2 linked regions of the Tribolium castaneum genome follow. Each later gene encodes a partner of the first gene's protein in a complex. Links are inferred from orthologs where the notes say so. Each region holds a gene or a part of one and is shown in the gene's direction. Other genes may lie near its edges.

Region 1 (11,127 bases):
ATTATCCAAGTAAATAATTTTACTTAATTTAACAATTACCTACTGAAATAGGTTGTTAATTGTCTGTGTCCAATCAATTAACTGAAGTAGCAGTGGCAGTTATTTGAAATATTTAAACCATTGTAATAACAGCAAGTGAAAGCTCACTTTTCAACATTGTAATTAGGAATAAAATTAATTTACTACCTAAGAAATTTTACTGTCAGTTATCATAAATAACACGAGATTTCTATTTTCAGATAACATTTTTATCACTTTTATCCGACTTTTATCGAGACTAACTACAAAAGAATTTGAACTCAAGGCATTTTATTTAATTTACAAAGGATAAGGTTTAATAATTGCAATTTTACTCGTTTATTATTAAAATTATTTGGTTTTGCTTAAACCGGATGGATTTTTTGTATCAATACGTTGCAGGGGAGACCCGGACAAAGCCGACCTCTTCGGCAACACGGCCCTGCACTTGGCCGCGGCGCAGGGCCACAAACACATCGTCACATTCCTAGTCAATTTCGGAGCCAACATTTACTCGACTGATATCGACGGCCGCACCGCCCAAGAACTCGCCGGAATGAACAACCGCGACGACATCCTGCGGTTCTTGGACGGCGTCCACGCCAAACTGGAGGCCGGCGACAAAAAGAAAGCCAAAGCACTCAAAGAAAAAGCAAAGAAAGAGTCAGAAAAACGCATCAAAGTAAAACACGGCCCCGTCGAGAGAAACCAATCGTTTCACTTTCTTTTCAGGAATTCAACAAACGCCAAGTCAAAAAAGAGCAAGTTCAAGAGAAGCTGGAGAAACGTATGAACAAAGGTCACCACAGGCCGTCGATGATAGAGACGCTCAAAACCAGAATTAAAAGTGGGTCCATGTCGAACTTGTCGAATCTGGGGCCGGCCCCTCCGAGGTTCAGCACCATCGTGGGCAACGGGACCGTTTCCGGGATGCGGAATTTGGGGTCGGTGCAGAAGCGGGTGCTCGCCAGCCGAACAACGCGGCCTGGCTTCGACGACGACTTCAAGGTGCTCCCGAGAGTAAATAAGCATTTATTTGAAAAACTCGTTCCAGATTAGTGAAATTGAAGACGGCAAACGCTCAGTCAGATCACTAACGGGGTATCGGCGAGACTCTGAGGTACTTTACACGGGGACCATCGATGGCAGGAGAGGCCGTCTGGAATCGGTCTTCAACGAAGCTGAGTACATAGAGTCGTCTCCGCCGCCACCACCGTCCAGCAACGGCCTCACAAGGTCCATCTCCCAGCCTGACTTCATGCACGAATTGGAAACAAACGGCGACACTAAACTCCAACAAGAACCAGCGAGTATTTTCGTGCGCCCAGGAATTGGAAGCATAGCGTTCCGGTAACAAATAATCAATATGCGAAAGCACAAAAACACGTTTTTTATTTAGAAAGAGCATAACCAACACATTCCAAGGCTTCTACTCCAGCGAAGGCCCCAACGAGGAGAGTTCAATCGGGTCAGGGGAAAGCTACGGCCCCAGAACCAACACTCTATCAATCGAAGACGAGTTATCAGACCCCGAGTCCAGCGACGACGATAACCCGAACGCTCCCCTGGAACGCTTCTTGACCGCCTGGGGGCTAGGAGAGTACCTTCCCCGCTTCGAGGAGCAGAAAATCGACCTGGAAACGCTGATGATACTGACAGAAAACGATCTCCAAAGCCTGAACTTGCCCCTAGGGCCGTACAGGAAACTTGTGACCGCTGTCAGCGAACGCAAAGCCGCGCTGGAGAATCCGGGCGAAGTCACAGACAGCATGTTGTAAATATGGAGTCAAAATGTGTTATTTATTCATTGTCGTGGACATGATAACGGTATTGCTTGTATTTTATGGGCACTTTTTGTACAGATGTGTGCCAGGCATAATATTTACAAATTCGTATTTAAATTTATTATAAATAAATGTGTGTTATGCAAATGCGAGCTTATTAAACCCACTCCTTATCAGTGTTCTCTTTGCTGAGAGAAATCTGATGTCATCGTCAATACGCAATAATAGGGGACGTAAAATATACTACGAAAAAGTGAAGTTACGTGTAGAAGAATTTGAATTCAATACAAATTTTTGCGCTGTTGCGTTCTTTGTGATGGCAATGAGTTTTTATGCAAAATAAAGTTAGTGAGACACCAAAATAGAAAAAAATAATGCCTTATTGCCATTAGAGCTTATTTTCTTGCTGTTTTTCCAAGTTAAATATTAGTTATTAACAATGCAATAAATCAATTAGGTTGTAATGGAAAAAATTTAATTTAAAATTAATTGGAAACCCAAGAGTGAAGGATTTTTAACAGGATTCCATTATTATTTAGCATCGCCAACTTACATCAAATGTCGCTGCGGATCAGGGTGACAATTTTTTTCTGAAAAAAAGTGTAGAAAAGGTAAGTGAAACAACACGTAAACAAAAATTAGAGAATTAAATTGAAAAAAAAGTGGATGAAAATGTTTTCTCAAGCGCAGCGACATTTGATGTAAGTTGGCCATGTTATTTTGATTTCAAAAGCGCCGAATTTCAAAAACTGTCGATTGTCAGAATCTGCGCGCGCACATTTCTTTTTGCCAAGTGTTGTGCACAACTCGCGGTTTCTGCTTCAACATATTGAATTGAACACTTCCTAACTTCTGAAAGCAAGTCAAATGACTATGACTGATGGTCAATCAGCGGGTGAGGTCCCCAAATTCGTGGCCCCCGTAATCCAGGACAACCCGACTGGATGGGGGCCCTGCGAGCTGCCCGACCAGTTCAAAGATATGCCGTACCAGCCCTTCAGCAAAGGCGACCGTCTCGGCAAAATCAGCGACTGGACGGGGGCCGCCTTCCAAGACAAGAAATATGCCAGTTAGTCTGACATTGACACATGTCAAATTTGAGGTTAAGTGACTTATTTTTCGCAATTTTAGACAAGTATGCGTCCCAGTTCGGTTCTGGCAGTCAATACGCGTATTATCATGACGAAGACGAGAGCACTTTTCATTTGGTGGACACAACACGCGTCCAGAAGCCCCCCTATCAACGGGGGCGCTTCCGCGCGAACCAGCGCAACTTGCGCGGGCGTGGCGGCCGTGCTGGGGTGCAAGGCAGCGGCATGCAGTCCCTCGGGAAGGGGGTTAAAGCCAGGGACACGTATAAGAGGAGCCAGGTTAAGAAATGGGGACAAGGACGGGTAAGATCTCGCTTGAGTTTTACCGCAATATAGTTGGCGGTTTTAGCCCCAGATTAAGATCAGGGACGCTTCGGTTACGGTCAAACCGGATTGGGTCACCATTGAGGAAATGGATTTCCCTCGGTTGGGAAAATTGTCGCTCCCTAACGTCAAAGACGGTTGGTTTAATTAAGCAATGCGAATTTTTCTATTTTGGTTTTTAGGCGAGGATATTACTTGTTGTGGCGAGTTGGAGTACTATGACAAGTCGTACGATCGTGTCAACGTGAAGAATGAGAAGCCGCTGCAAAGCGTCAATCGTATCTTCCATACAGTGGGTTATTTTTAATATCATTGATGGCAAAAAATTAAAATTAATTATCCTCAGGTTACAACAACTGATGATCCGATTATCCGTAAGTTGAGTAAAACGGAGGGCAATGTGTACGCCACTGATGCGATCCTTGCGACCATCATGTGCTGCACTCGCTCGAATTATTCCTGGGACATCGTGATTGAAAAAATTGGTACTGTGCCCTTACAAGTGTAACAAATCTCAAACAAAATTTTTCAGGCGATAAACTCTTCTTTGATAAGCGTGACAATACGGAGTTTGATCTTTTAACCGTCAACGAAACGTCCGTGGAGCCCCCACAAGACGACGGCAACTCCTTAAACTCCCCTCGAAACCTGGCCTTGGAAGCCACTTTCATTAACCACAATTTCAGTCAACAGGTATTAAGAACAGGTACCGGGGAGCCCCGCTTCAAGTTCGACAACCCAAACCCTTTTATCTCCGAGGAGGAGGAAGGGGAGGTCGCCAGTGTGGCCTACAGATACCGCAAATATGACCTAGGGAGCGGAATAGTAATTTTTTCGTTTTGTTTCTGTCCACGTTTAATTTGTGTAGTTTTTGGTTGTCCGTTGCGAACACGATGCCGTGGTCCAGTCCCCGAATGGCGAGCTCCAATTCCTGTCAATCAAGGCCTTGAACGAATGGGATTCCAAATTGGCCAATGGGGTGGAGTGGCGCCAGAAACTGGACACCCAGAGAGGCGCCGTTTTGGCCAATGAGCTGCGTAATAACGCCTGCAAGCTGGCCAAATGGACCGTTCAGGCGTTGCTGGCTGGCAGCGACCAAATTAAATTCGGTTATGTTTCCCGGGCCCATGTCAGGGATAACAGCAAGCATGTTATTCTGGGTACACAGCAGTATAAGCCGCACGAGTTTGCCACTCAGATTAATCTGAATATGGATAATGCGTGGGGGATTCTGCGGTGTATTATTGACATTGTTATGAAACAGAAGGATGGGAAGTATTTGATTATGAAAGATCCGAATAAGCCGATGATCCGGTTGTACGATATTCCGGATAATACGTTCGAATCGGACGGGGAGTCGGAGTCGGAGGATGAGGTGCCCCCTGATTCCGTGACTTTCCAGACCCTTTATCCATACACCAACAGTGCGAAACGCTAGATTTTGTATTTTTATCATGTATTAGCGAAAGGCCGAAATAAAATGATCAATAAATAATAATTTGCAGTTAATTCTCGTGCATAGTATTAACCAACAAGTGAAAAAAAAATAAAACGGACTCTTGTCGTGTAGCAGCAGCAAGGTGCATTTGCTCACGCATTTTTTAATTTTTTTCAACAAAGAAAGTAAAGCTGTCGTATTCACAACAAAAGAAAAATAAAGGTAAGTGCATTATTCTATTTTGTTGCGGATTTACTTTATTAGGTTTAGAATTTACTTATTCAAGATTATCAGCACATTTTTATGACGTAAGATGTCATATTATCGTATGATTCATTCTTTTTTTGTTAATACGTTCCAACATTCAATAACTAAATCAAATTAACAGTTTTATTTTTACTCGAACCCACACAATTTGAGATGTTGAAAAGTTATAATCGTTTGAGTGCAACATTTTACAACAGATTAACTACTTTATAAAATTTTCAAACTAATTTGATGACATTTGAGTTTATGATGTCGTAAAGTGTATTTTTTCAATTGCTCATCTCCAAGTGGGATTGAATATGTGATACAATTAACATATTGTAAGTGAAATGTGGAATGGTAGGTATAATAATGACATAATATTAACTTGGTTTTTATTTATTTGCAATACCTTATTGCTACATATTGTAGCGGAAGTAGATGCCATGAAGATAAGTGCACTTTAATAATTTTTTTCATTTTACAAAACATCAGCTTTTTAAACTATTTTTCCCTCGAAACTAATTTGTTATTCTTCCACGAATGAAATAATGGAGGGGGGAAAGGTTTGTTACTTTATTTTTTTTTTTTTTGAATGAACTATATAATTTATTGCCGCACTTATACAATATGTTTGTTATTGTCTTTTCCAATATCTTAAATGTTTTAGTTTTGTTTTTATCAACAACAGGAGCCCTATACCCACAGTAGTTTTCGAAATATTTCACTTATGAATTCACATTGTGGAGTTAAGCGAAATATCTTTCTAATTTTTTCAAACACATTAAGCTGTATTTTGTGAAGTAGCGTTTCCATAAAGACGCATTTGTACCCAAATGAAAAAAATAAAAGTGGTCCAAACCACTCATAAAAAACATAATTAACTGAATAAAATTGAAACTTACCAAAAAGAATTAATCCAAAAAAAAAAAAATTTGTGGTCTAGTTATACTTGTGAAAACGTTTGGCCGCTTGCTTGTTCCAGAAGGGCTTCCTGTCCCTTTGGGGCAAAGTGTTCCTCAAGTCAAACATGTTTTGCACATTTTTGCCAATTTGATTATTCCATTTTTTCTTATTACTTCCCGACGGTTCATTTCTACCAAACCCAGTTTGGTTAAATTTACGTTTATTTCTAGAAAACTCATTAAACCGGACGGGATTTCCCTCCGACAATATTTGCATAACTTCGTCCAAATGTTCCTTCACGTGTGATGACTGCGAAATTTGCATAATATCAGCCGAATCACTCGGCATTTGCAAAACCAAGGTCTCCATATTACTCTTAGATAAGACACAGCCCACGTTTTTGTCCAAATATTGGGCAATTTGGTGCCTCCAGCTGTTCAGTTTTTCCAAAACTAACAACTGGCGTTTGTGTATTTCTTCGACATTTCTACGAACCGACAAATACGCTTCATCTTCAACTTTAGGATAGAGAATCTTGCAGCAGTTATTACAATCATCAAGCACAGCCCGCAAAAGGTTCGCTTCAATCAACTCATTTTTGAGTTTGTGGTAAAACCCGATTAAGTAATGGGAGTCCACACGGGCGTAGTCTTTAAATTTGGGAGGCAGGGGCCTTCTGCGAAAATCCTGACGTTGCATTGTCTTATCCTTTGCGACGTGATAGTCCTGCAAAAGTGCGTCCAGTCCCAACTTTTTGTACCCCAGCGCTTTCATCGCGATTTGAGTGTCAAACAAGTTGACGACAAAAACACCCAAGTCCTGCTGGAGCCACTTCAGGTCATTTACCGCCGAATGAAAAATTTTCACAATGTCTGGATTGGTGAAAACTTCATTCAAGGCGTGCAACTCGTCTTTTAAGGCAATCGCATCGATGATGTAGTCTTTGTCAGGGGTCGATATCTGGACGAGACAAGTCAAAGCTTTGTAGCCATGATCCGAGTATTCAACGTCAACCCCTAACTCCTTCCAGGCTTTCAAATCGGTTATTAATTCCTCGAGACTGGTTTTCGTGTCGATGTCACACAGAGGGGTTTCCTTGAGCGTTTTGGGGGCCTCTATGTTCTCAACGCGAGACAACTGCTCAACGGTGGGCTCAAAATTGAGAAGGTGCTTGTAGGGGTGGCTTTCACACGAATCCTGGCCTAGAAAAATGTTAGAACACCCAAAACTGCGCTATTTGGTGAATACCAGCAATGTCAGCGTCACAAAATTTTTTCACAGATTCTTCATTACATGTCGTTACTTCAGCAGTCTGGACTTCAGCTTGTTGGGATTCTTCTTTTTCCATTGTTATTTCGTGCTTATGTAAGCGAGGGAAGTTAATTCTAATCACAAACTTATGACGCCGCAAAAATTAGACTAAGCTCTGCCAACATGAAAACAATAAAATGGCGAAACTCGCATTCGTTTAATTATAATTCACTTTAAATTACATCAGTCTGTAGTAATCGTTACTTGATTGAATATTTGTAAGAGCTGAAGACTTATCACCTAATAATAGTGTGATTTATCAACAAATTGGACAGTTTTTGGTCCTCCGTTTAGGGGATTTGTTTGTGACCACAGGTTGGCGGTGCTCAGCGGTGCTAAACTTTTCGACAATGATGAAGGCGGCAGGTTCAAAATGCGAGTTTATTTACTAATTGAAATATTCGCAAAAACAAACATTATTTCGGATTCAATAAAAATAAAAATAATTCTTTCACAACAATAAAGAAATTAATAGCAACGTGTGTGACAAAAGCCGGGTGTATTCCAATTTCGACTTTTGTGACGTGAATACTGCCTCTCTGGACTTCGTCTCCTCTCCCCTAGTCTGTCCAATTCTCGCAACTGACTTGAACTTGGGCCAAAATCACTGTGCTTTGTAGTTTCATTTTCAATTGCCCTAGAATTGTGCAGTGTTCCCGCCAGTAGGTTTCTTGTGGTTTCACAAGTGGCAAAACAAAACTTGTTCCTCACTCGTAACCGGAGTTGCATCTATCGTTTAAACATACTCGTCATTTCGAATAGATTATTCCTTCTTAGAATAATGTTTTAGGCATTATTTATACACAAATCTCTGACATCAGGGAAGAGTAAACATAACCTAAACTTGACGTCTGTCTGATCAATTTTATTTATCAATCAGGTTCTATTTTTTCGTTGCAGCATATGATGAGATTATTATTTAAGTAATAAATATTGATTAATGAACGAATCTTAGCAAAATTCACTTCACCCTTACGGGATTTCGGTTCATGCACACTTCACTGGGTTGTTTCGAAAGCGGGGTTTTCAAATTCAAATAAATAGCCACAAAAAGTAATTTCGTTTATTGTTACGAACAATATAATACTTCAATTAAGGAATACTTCACGTTACGGCTTATGCAATACGATTTAATTATGTCTGTTGTCAATTTCTCTAATCACGAGCTGTAGTTTTTTTACTGCAGCTGTGACGTCCTGGTCACTAATTTCCCAATAAGTGACAAATCTGATAACTCCTGCGTCTCTCGAACTAGTTTTAACGCAAACTTTAACTTCATCGGTCTCAAAAACAGAGGCTAAGCGCTTTTGCACTTCTTTGGCCGTGATGATGGACTTGTCCAAATACATCATAAGGATGTTGGTTTGGACGCCCGACAAGTCCACTTGAAATGTCTTGGACTTCATGTCGCTAATACCTGGAAATAAATAAAAATAAATTTAATTACGAGTTACTTGTATGACACAGCTAACAGCTATTTATCTAATAGCTAATAAGTACCCTACACATGATGCAATTCTTTATGAAAGAAGCTGTTTTATAAATAAAGCCGAGGGCATAGCGCACAAGATTTTATGTTTGAGTGCTTTACAGAAAAATTTTCACAGTAAAGCTTTTATTATAGAAAAAAAAATCGAAGGTAAATAATTTGCAAAAATTAAAAATTCAAACAGCTAGCGACAATTTTTTTTACAATTTTTTTTGTTCGGAGCATCATTTATCATCATCATATTTTTAATTTTTTTAATACAAAGTATTTTTCTTTAATAGCAAACGCTCATTTCTGCGTGCGACATTTAGTTTTTGAGATGTAGTAAAAAATACTTTCAGCAGACTCACCTTGTATAGCGATTTTTTGACTGAATACTGCGTTCATTTTTTACAACTCAATTATTTTACAAACAGTAGCTCTGTCATTTTGAGAAAAAAAAAATGTGTTACGTACACCAGGAGATTTAAATCTTCATCTTTTTATTTTTTTATTTGTTTGTTTGTGTAACTGTAATACATGTATAACCCCTTGGGAATGAGAGTAAACGGGAGAGTTGTGACCAAAGGAAAGCCATACACAATAAAAATATATTTATTAGTTATAAATGCGTTTTCACTTAAATATTATCTTATTTGTATTCAGGTCATATCGTGTAAATTCCAAAAGCGTGTAAAAACAATCAAAAAATATAATCATCATAATAATAAACACTTAATACCTATTTAAGCTTTGATCGACTTGAATTGGTCATCGAATTCTTTCAAAACAAACGTAACTCTGTCGATCGTATCTCTGATATCATCATCGGTGATCTGCCAGTACGTCACAAACCTGACACAATCGGGCCGAATGGAGGAAGCCCTAACACTAACTTTCACTATATCATTCTTAAACACTTTGGCCAACCGATAGATGACTTCTTTGACGGCCACTTTGCTCCGATCAATATACATCATCAAAATATTTGTGTGAATTGAGGGCAAGTCAACTTTGAAGATGTCCGATCTTAAGCTATCGATAGCTGTAACAACGCTCAATTTCCGCCTGCCATAAAAACCAAACTATTTACCTCTGGCAATTTGCAAGATGTGGTCGTGGTCCTCCTGCAACCGGTCGATCATCTTGTCAAGGGCCACGAGCCCCGCGGCTGCGATAATCCCAGCCTGCCGCCAGCCGCCCCCCAGGACCTTCCTCGTCCTCCTAGCCCTGCAAAACCGCGTTAGACATCGCCAAAATCACTCGCTGGTTTTACTTGTCGACAAAAGTCTTGCTGCCGGCGAGAATCGACCCAATGGGGGCGCCTAGCCCCTTACTCAGGCAGAAGCAAACGGTGTCCACGTCCCGGACGACGCGTTCGACAGGTACTTTGAGGTAGACGGCGGCGTTCATGACGCGAGCCCCGTCCATATGGACCGGAATGTTGTACTCTTTTGAAATGTTTTTCACTTTTTCGATCCAATCTAACGGTAATACCTGAAGCGGAACAATAGTACTTTTGGGTTTTTTATTATGAATAACTTTACTTTTCCGCCACACATGTTGTGGGTGTTTTCAATAATGACTAGAGTGGTGTAGGGCTCATGACAGTCCGGGTTTTTCCGGATTCTGTCTCTGAGTTCGTCCAAACTGAACGTCCCGTCACTGTTATTGCGGATAAGGGAGGCTTGGACGCCGGCAATTTGGGCGGGGCCCCCTAAAATTGCGCAACAACTAATTACCAATGGAAATTTCTTTCTGATTAAGTGATTAATGGGCGGGTAACAATCTCGTTTCTATCCATAACTGTATTTAATGAAGTTGCGAAACCGCAATGCGAAAATTAGTACCTACACAATCATACCTTGTTCAAATCTGAATGTGTGCCCATTATCGCCTGAAATTATCTCGCTCCCCCGCTGGCTGCAGTGGACCATAACTTAAAAAGTGATAAGACGTTAGAGTTGCATAATATTATCGAAATTGGCAAATAATCAGAACGTGTGTGTTTAACGCAAACAAATAATTAAGTTATGCTGAATTAAAAATTAAATTATAACACGTGAGATGTAAGAAATAATTGCCCATTTGATAAACGATTGCTCAATAAACCCGCTCGGACGTCAAAATCGTTACTTGCAAAAATGTATTTGATCAAGATAACCAGTTTGATTTTGTTGATTCTTAAGCTCTGCGTTATCTCGTGAAAAAAAAATAGTTTCAGCGGGGAAATTTCCGCTTTATCGCCGACATTTGACACGTTGCAAAAGAAGTGGCAATAAACTCACTTGCGATTAAATTGGCCATGGTGCCGCTGGCCACGAAGACGGCGTCCTCCTTGCCCAAAAGCTCGGCCGAGCGGCGCTCAAGCTCGGCCACGGTGGGGTCTTCCCCGAAGACGTCGTCGCCGACGACCGCCGTCGCCATGGCCTCCCTCATCTCGGGGGTGGGCTTGCTTATGGTGTCGCTCCGCAGGTCCACCACGTGGACCGCTGAAGTGTTTATTTCACCGTTGACTTTTTCGTACATCTTTAATAAAAT
Region 2 (8,682 bases), on another chromosome or scaffold:
GTGAAGACACTCAGGAAAGAACTAGACTACCTTAAAGAAACAGAATGGAAGTATGAGAGTATTGACAAATACATCGGGCAATGAAAATAACTTTTGGTTTTGTACCTAAAACAATTATTGTAAATGTTCGAATAAAATATTTGATATTTTTCCACAAACTTGTTTGATTTTGTGACGATTACGTTTCAAAAATCGCGCCAAAAACTTGGCAAATTGTCCAGCATGAAAGTGAAATTCCCTAGGCCCTGGTGCCGCCCAGGCATCCTGAACTGATATAGCCAAATCGAACCCTCACTGACACAGCTTCCTTGATTAGTGAAGGGAAGTACCCTTTACACGGCTGGTCGCATTGAACAAAAAAAGTGTTTTTTGACAGCTTACTTTATTGTAGCGCCATCTATTAGTTGCTGCTGAAAAATTCACTTGGTGTCAAAGGTGACAGCCGTCATATTTTTTACAAATTTAAGTTTTCAACCTCTTTTGCACAAGATTTATACAAAATTTTGCCAACAGGAAGGCAAGACAAAGCTTAGTTTCATTTTTTTTCCACAAGTTTTAATCAAAATTTGAAATGCAAAGCATTTCGACACTAATGGGTACATTTTGTACAGTTGGTTGCAAATGCGTTCCAACACTCTTTTGATCATTTTCGTGAGCATAAAAATGTTTGTTTACCATTCGGCAAAATGTTCAAGTTTGTATGACGCTTTTTACGTTCGTTTTGTGTTTCGCAGTTCGCTCTTGGCATAGGCTCTTGGTCACTCACATGGCAACATGCGCTTTTGGTTCCTCACAGTAAAAACACGTGCCAAATGTTTGTAGAATACGTTTTCTACAACTATACAGCTAATACTAATGCGTTTTGCCTTAGAAATCTTCTGCACTGACAGCAGTGTGACAACACTTAACCTTAGAACTGTCAGAATTGTTTTACTTTATAGTGGCTCCCTCTCAGAAACAAAAATATGCCATGGAACTAAGCAATGCGGCCAGCCGTGTGAAGGGAAAGTTCCTTCATTAATCAAGGAAGCTGTGCTCACTGAAATAGGATTTACTGATGATGCGGATAGATGGCCTTAGTGTTTTACGGGAAAAAGAAATCCTATTGGCGGATTTAAAATTTCATATTACTGAAGAAAAACGTGGTACCGATGCGCGGCTGACAAGTAAAAATTTCACAAACGTCAGCAAAATTTGAGTTTATTTTTTATATCACGTTAATTTTTCAAAGTTTTATTAAGATAGTGGTTCAAGGTGTCGTGTTTGGGTTAGACTATTGCCTACTATCGGTTAGGAACAACATGATCTCCAAGAATATAACGTAGTAATGAGCTCCAGAAGGTTTTCATTGATAGGTGCGTTTTTTCCAAAAGTGAGTTTTTTGAGAGCGAACCGCAAGTGAGTCACACTGTGAGGAGATTCCCATAGACAGAAGTTGCTAACATAAGGTGCCAGTTTGGCTGATTGCAAGTATGTCTTTATCATCGATGCGGTGACGACTATTAGTTTTGTAAACTTAATGGATTTAATAAATATCTTTAATATTAAATGTGTTTAGATCGTGTCATGTTGGGTAAAATTCTTCTATTTGTGCTGTTTGTGCATCCACCTTTTCAAATACAATTAGAAAATTTTCATAATAATTGTATTTGATAAGGTTTTGACATCATTTTGACGTGAGCAAAAATTTAAAAAATACAAAGTAATCGGGATTATTTAATTCGCGCCATTTTTAGTACGTGATGATGCGGCTAGATGGCTCCAGCTAGGAATTCATTGCCAACCATTATGTTCCGCTTCTATAAAAGTGTTATTCTAGGGTGCCGCCATATGTGTCACATTTTATAAAATCTTGTTAGTTTTTGCATAAAAACGGTATAAAATGGCCCAATTTGATTTAACTTCCCGCATGGGGCAATATTTGGATCGGCACTTGGTGTTTCCATTGTTGGAATTTTTGTCGGCTAAAGAGGTACAGTTTTTGAGGTTATGTTCATTCGGTTGATTCCGAATTTCGTAGATTTACGATGAAACGGAATTGCTTAAAGCCAAATTAGATATTTTGAGCAAGACCAACATGATCGATTATGCTATTGACATCCGAAAGCAGCTGTATCCAAATGAAGAAGTTCCTGAAGATCTGAAGCAAAGGCGTCAACACGTTGTAGCTCAGTTACAGGAGCTTCAACAGGAAGTGCAACCAATTTTGAAGATTATGGCCGACGATGAGGTCATGAAGAATATGGAAAACATGAGGGATTCGAAAACTTTGATTAATTTCCTTTCAAAGGATTACAAAGTAAATACAATGTGTTCAAAAATGGTTGTTCACCCAGTCGACTATGGAAGTCAAAAACAATGTTCCGCTTCGTTCAAATCATTATTGTAGTGTTTGAATACTCTCATCTCTGTCAAATCTTAGCTTTTTACTCACTTTTTTGCATTTCTCAAGTGTGGGGTTTGCCGTCATTTGTGTTTTACATCTCGGTGAAATTTGTTGTGTACTCTTTCGTTTTTAGATTTGAAGTTTTTTTGCATTAATTTGACGGTTTTGTCGCTTTTGACGGCATTCACAATTTAAATTAAGTGGCACATTACGTTCAAATTTCATAAGTGACTTGCAATGAACAATCATTTCTGAATAGTGTGTTTGGACGAATACATTTTTGCAAAGAAAATGCACGTCAAGCTAATGAATGTTTATTTTAAAAAAAGAAGGATAAATTGAAGAAATACCTTTATTTGTAACTTATGACCTACTTAAACACTACTTTAAAACACTATATTTAACATGAAATTAAAACAAAGAAAAATAGGAATGATATTTGACAATTAATTGTTTGAACAAAAAAAAGATAGATTTTTTTGTAATTTCAATCTTTATTGGCTTCAATGACGACTCAACTTAGCGCTGGCATACTTTTAACGAATCCCTTACAAAATTCTGGCGTTTTATTGTTCCAAATATGTTCTATTTTATTTTTTAAATCTTTCAACAACTATTGAGGAAGATTTGTAGGATACCTTTTTACTTTGTGCCAAAAAGACTCAATGATATTTAAATCAGAGCTGTTTGCTAGCCACTCAATAAACTGACGTGGAAGTGTTATTGATGTTAACGAAAATATTTAATATAATGTTTTAATTTTTCTGATATGATATTAGTTAAGCAAATAATAATAATAGGTATTTATAAAATACAAAATATAAAAACTTGATTAATCGAAATTTAATTAATTCTGCAGTGTCTTTCTGGATCAACGGCGTATAATGCTATAAGCAAAAAATTCTTAAGAAAAATTTTTACGAACTTTTTGCACAAAACATTTAAGTATTTCAGGTGTTCTAAAATAACATAAGAAATAATAACTTTTGCAGCGTTTTAATATCATGTAATTTGATTGCGATTTTATGCAATTAATGAATTAGTAATTGTTAAAAAAAATAAAAAAACAATAAACTGCCAAGGAAGTTTTATTGATGTTACGAAAATATTTAATATTCAAAAAAATTATTTAATTCTACTAGTATTAGAAGTTGTTACCATTTAATTAATAAAATAAAAAAAAACTGTGGGTCGGTCTACAGACAGCGAAATTAAAATTTAATTCCGAATTAGACTAATTCGAGTTTAAGTTGTCATTTAAAATGCATTGGCAAATGTCAAGTTAATCACTAATAAAAATTTTATTGTAATTGAAATATTCTGTAAACTTCTTTGTTTAATTTAATTTCGCAGTTGGCAAGTAAGGTATAATCCTGCTTTTTCCGTAAATTTGTGCTAATGCGAGAAGGGTTAGCTGGTTTGATCTTCCGGTGATTTCCGGGGCAAATTGTTCAGTCAGTTACAGAATTTGTTATCACTTATAATGCAACAAAAATTAATGAAAACTTAAAAGCAATTAAAGAATGTTGGCATATTAATTAGTCACACAAAAATCAGTGTTTTCTATTAAATACTTAATTTTTTTCTCAAAGATTTTTTTTTATTTTTTTTTACATTTCCTTAAATAAACATGAATTACTAAAAATTATGTTAATAAAATTGAAAATATTATTCCGTGTAATTAATTAATTATTAATTTTATAATTTCAATAGTGTCTTTTAAATGAATGATATTTTAAGCAAAAAATTCTTAATAAAATTGTTGCTAACCTCAAAATTTCGATTTATTAAATTTTAATATTTTATACAATGTGTTTTTAAATGATTCTCATCCAGTTAACTTTGAAATTGGTTTACATGTAAAAAATTGTGCCGCTTTGCTCAATTGAATCCTCTGTTAATAAATGTAAAGTCTGTCAGTTGGCAAATTCATTTAATTTGTTTTAAAAACTTCGTTAAAATGTAACTAAATTATTATACCGTGCAAGAAAACACTTTTATTTTTTAAGCTTACTTTATATTTGGAGCCTTAATAAATGGAGAATGGTAATATTCGATGTCTAAATGCCTATCATTATTTATATGAAGCGGTATTTTCTGATTTTACTGTAGAAATTCACAGACGACTAGATGAGAATTATTTAAAAACACATTGTATTATTTATTAATATTTATTTTATTTTTTAATTAATTAAGGGCCAGTTTTATAATCGAATTTAAAGGAGCATTAAATTAAATGTTTAGAATGTGAAATGTCCACAAATCCATAGTAACCAGCACATTATAAACAACTTTTAGTTGAATGCTCCTTTAAATCCGATTATGAAATTGGCCCTTAAATTTTATTACAAAAATTAAATTATTTTTTGAACATTTTATTAAATACATATTTTCATTAACATCAACAATAATTAACATCACTTTATTGATTGATTATTCTTTTGATACATAAATCGATGATCGAATGCATTCGAGCAAAAAAAGATAAATTTTGGGAAAAAATCACGTTAAGTGTCAATTTTGTCTAAGATTCTGGCCCATTTTTTTGATCAGTGCAATTTCGTACGCTTTCTTGCTCCAAAATGACAAAATTTACTGCAGAAATTTTTCAAGAGTTTTAAACTGGCTGAAAACTCTGAATTAAACAAACACTGTCTTGAAATCAGTTGGTTTTAGACTGCTTCTTGCTAATTTGTGCATTATTTTGTCTAAAAACAGTTGATTTAAAGCGAGAAAACTTTCATAAGAGTCTGAAAACTACTGCTTTAAAATTAAAACTTATCACACTGATATCTGCTCTAATGAAACAAATTTGGAATTTGCTACTCTAAACAAGCAACAAATTTGAGAGCTCTCTCCACTATCTCAGAGCGAACCGAGTATGCTCTGCTGGTCCCGAAATGTTTTAGAGAACGCATAGAGATTTACATTTGTTTGCTCGTTAGGAGTTAGAAGAACGATTAGAGAACTCTTTGAGGTAAAAAATGTAATTCTGGAACGCAGCATCAATAAAATCACTTTGATAATTAAAAATTAAACAAGATTTCGTGCAAATATTTAATTGTTAGGGCTCGTATAGTAACCAATAGTACATTTACTATAATTTTCATGTTTCAGTTTGAAATTGAGATGATTGAGTCTCTCCACAAACTGGCGAAATACAGATACGAGTGTGGCAACTATTCAGTTTCCACTTCCTATCTCTACTTCTGCATGCTGGTGTTGCCCCCAAATGACAAAAACTACTTGAGCGTCTTGTGGGGCAAATTCGCTTCCGAAATCCTGGTTCAAAACTGGGAATCCGCCCTTGAGGACTTGAATAAACTGCGCGAATACATTGATTCCAGCCCCAACCAGTTTGGAGGCAACAGCCTCCAGTTGCTCCAGCAAAGAACTTGGTTGATCCACTGGTCGCTGTTTGTATTCTTCAACCATGCGCTGGGCCGTGAATTGATAATCGACATGTTCCTCTATCGCCCCCATTACCTCAACGCCATCCAAACCATGTGCCCCCATATTTTGCGTTACTTGGCCACTGCTGTCATCATCAATCGAGTGCGCAGATCAGCGTTGAAAGACCTCGTTAAAGTCATCCAGCAGGAAAGTTACACTTACCGCGATCCCATTACTGAATTTTTGGAGCATTTGTATGTTAATTTTGATTTTGACGGTGCGAGGCAGAAACTGCACGAATGCCAGTCTGTTCTGTTCAATGATTTCTTTTTGATTTCTTGTTTGGATGAGTTTGTGGAAAATGCGCGTCTCATGATTTTCGAGACGTTCTGCAGAATTCACCAATGTATCAGTATTGGGATGTTGGCCGAAAAATTGAATATGAATCCGGAGGAAGCTGAATGTTGGATCGTTAATTTGATCAGAAATGCACGATTAGATGCGAAAATTGATTCCAAATTGGGGCATGTGGTCATGGGGGCGCAGCCTCTGTCGCCGTATCAGCAACTTATTGAGAAGATTGATACGTTATCGGTCAGGTCGGAGACGCTCTGTGGGCTTATTGACCGGAGGTTGAAAGCAAGGACAGATGTAAGATTTTTCTTTTTTTTCTCTCTAAATAATACAGGGTGACTTAGGGGTGTGTAATCGGTTTATAAGTTTTTTTTTTCTGATAGATCTATTTAAAGTCCACAAACTAATAATACTCTTATTATACACAGGCTGTTGTACAGGGTGGTGAAACAAAGTTACATTTTTTAGAGTATTTTTAAGCGTATTTTTTTTAAGAGCGATCAGTAATAAATCCGGTTTTGATCAGTATAAATAATAAATGATCAGTATTTAAATAATTTGTACACAGTAAAAAAATTAAATGACAAGTAAAGCACGCGCAGTATTTTATTAAAATTTGTTCTGTGTAAAGTCCCCAGAAAAAAAGTCGCATATGCACAGTCTAATTTGAGTTTGCACAGTTTGTAGTTATTAATAATGCAAGTGCGAAAACACAAGCCTAAGCAGATCTTAAACACAGTTTTATGTAAATTGTCAAAACTTTCACTGAAAAATTACGAATAGAAAAATGACTATTTGTTGAGCTCTATTACTTGTTAAAATTAATACACGTATTTCTGATACAGCCGGTATATTTCTTTATGAATTAATTTTATTATTAATTCTTGGTGGATGACATTTATTTAAAGTATCAAGTAATAATTAGATTACTAATGTATTTAGTTACATTAGCATATATCAAAAAATAAATTGCCATTTGACTTGTCAGATTCTAGACTAGCAAATTTTCTTGTAACAAAATACATTTTATCTCGAAAAGTATTTTAAATTTGTTTTACAAACTCTATACCATTAGAAAGCTTATCAAAAATGCTATCGATCACAGCTATCGATATGTTAAAACAAATACATATATTCGGTTCACTTTCATAAAAACCATTGTAGTGGAAATTTGGTACTCTTGGCATTAACTTTTATCATGAGTTGTCATGCTAACAGGTTAGTTAATTCGACCACAATGGCTTTTATGAAAGTGAACCGAAAATAAATTTACTATTTGAAAAAAAAAGTTAGTCTGCTTTTTTTGGCACACCCTGTACATCAGGTGTGTGTTTCGATTAAAAGTCGACTATTTATTGAAACTACAAAAAAAAAGTTTTTCTGGTGTAAATTTGTGGGAAAATATTTATAGGCGACTTCACAGTGAGTTTTCAAAAGCTGTTTTTTTTTGAATAATTTCGAAACGGAAAGAGACAGACCTATAATTGTTTATAAAAAATTTCCTTATTTTTTCACCTAGAATTTAATTATACAAAAATATATAGGCTGTTCCTATGTACAACACCCTGTGTACTGGGTATGTCGCGAGGTAGTGCACATACTTTATTTTAACCATAGATTAACCATTAAAAATAAAGTAACTAATATTTTTTATTTTTTTCTAAAAACGTTTATTATGGCATTATTGACTCTCAAAAATTACCTAATAATACTTATCTGATTTTTATAAAATTTGGTATACAATCGTTATCATAGGTAGTTATAGACTGATTACACATCTCTGGGTCAGCCAGTACAGGGTGAGTTTTAAAAAAACGAGCTACTGTGTCACAAAAATTTGAAAATATCGAGACAGTTGTTTTTTCAATTTTTATTAATAATGTCTTAAATCATCCAGGTTTTCTGATGGCATTTTAAAGATTTAGGAACTTCTTTCCGTTATTTATTTTCTATTAATCTAATTAATTCTATTTTTTAATTAATTGTTTTTTTAATCTAATTAATTTATTTTCTGTGACAATCATCTATGCTACTTAAAAAGTTTATTTTGATGACATTGCAAATATTGCACTGTTGCAAATTCTACTAACTGAAATGGGATATAATTTTAATAAAATTAATGGAAACTAAAAAAATAGACACAACTGATTGTATTATTATTAAAAAGAACCACATAGTCTTAAGCCTTATCCAAAACAATTAATAATTATTATATTTTTTTACAGATAAGGTGGGGCAATCAAGACTTTTAATCGCGTCGGACTCCTCTTATAAACTGTATTGATATAATATAATAAAATTTTGTATCAATCTCAATTTTATTTATAAAAAAAAACGAATGACGAAAAACTTGTCTCTTCCCTGACTTTGGTCTATTACAAGTAGCGCGATAGTGGTTGCCTGGTTGGATGCTGTAATACGGACATTGTCCCAAAAACAACATGACCATTGTCGATGAAGCTAGCACCATTCTCGTTTTCATTAAGGTCCCAAGGGGTGTTTGTCCGAACATGATTTTTTTACAGTTAAAGGCCCTATCGAAGGGTTTA

Evidence for each region.
Region 2: eIF3d1 (region 1) and eIF3e share a complex: the UniProt entries of both Drosophila melanogaster proteins name them as parts of the eukaryotic translation initiation factor 3 (eIF-3) complex. The link is inferred for Tribolium castaneum from reciprocal best matches to the Drosophila melanogaster genes eIF3d1 and eIF3e.

What each region holds. Positions count from the first base shown.
Region 1 is NC_087399.1:4,806,668-4,817,794, forward strand, and holds eIF3d1 (eukaryotic initiation factor 3 p66 subunit), read left to right. Parts: upstream 1-2,602; 5' UTR 2,603-2,669; coding exon 2,670-2,871; intron 2,872-2,933; coding exon 2,934-3,196; intron 3,197-3,242; coding exon 3,243-3,354; intron 3,355-3,399; coding exon 3,400-3,509; intron 3,510-3,563; coding exon 3,564-3,702; intron 3,703-3,749; coding exon 3,750-4,042; intron 4,043-4,085; coding exon 4,086-4,655; 3' UTR 4,656-4,712; downstream 4,713-11,127. Other genes in the region: Sans (ankyrin repeat and SAM domain-containing protein 4B), read left to right, coding at 421-700, 751-1,026, 1,073-1,368, 1,418-1,796; uncharacterized protein LOC659017, read right to left, coding at 9,333-9,631, 9,680-9,816, 9,863-10,083, 10,134-10,303, 10,451-10,525, 10,875-11,115. UniProt on the Drosophila melanogaster protein: mRNA cap-binding component of the eukaryotic translation initiation factor 3 (eIF-3) complex, which is involved in protein synthesis of a specialized repertoire of mRNAs and, together with other initiation factors, stimulates binding of mRNA and methionyl-tRNAi to the 40S ribosome.
Region 2 is NC_087394.1:22,551,939-22,560,620, forward strand, and holds eIF3e (eukaryotic translation initiation factor 3 subunit E), read left to right. Parts: upstream 1-1,794; 5' UTR 1,795-1,882; coding exon 1,883-1,972; intron 1,973-2,020; coding exon 2,021-2,299; intron 2,300-5,503; coding exon 5,504-6,430; intron 6,431-8,358; coding exon 8,359-8,385; 3' UTR 8,386-8,449; downstream 8,450-8,682. UniProt on the Drosophila melanogaster protein: Component of the eukaryotic translation initiation factor 3 (eIF-3) complex, which is involved in protein synthesis of a specialized repertoire of mRNAs and, together with other initiation factors, stimulates binding of mRNA and methionyl-tRNAi to the 40S ribosome.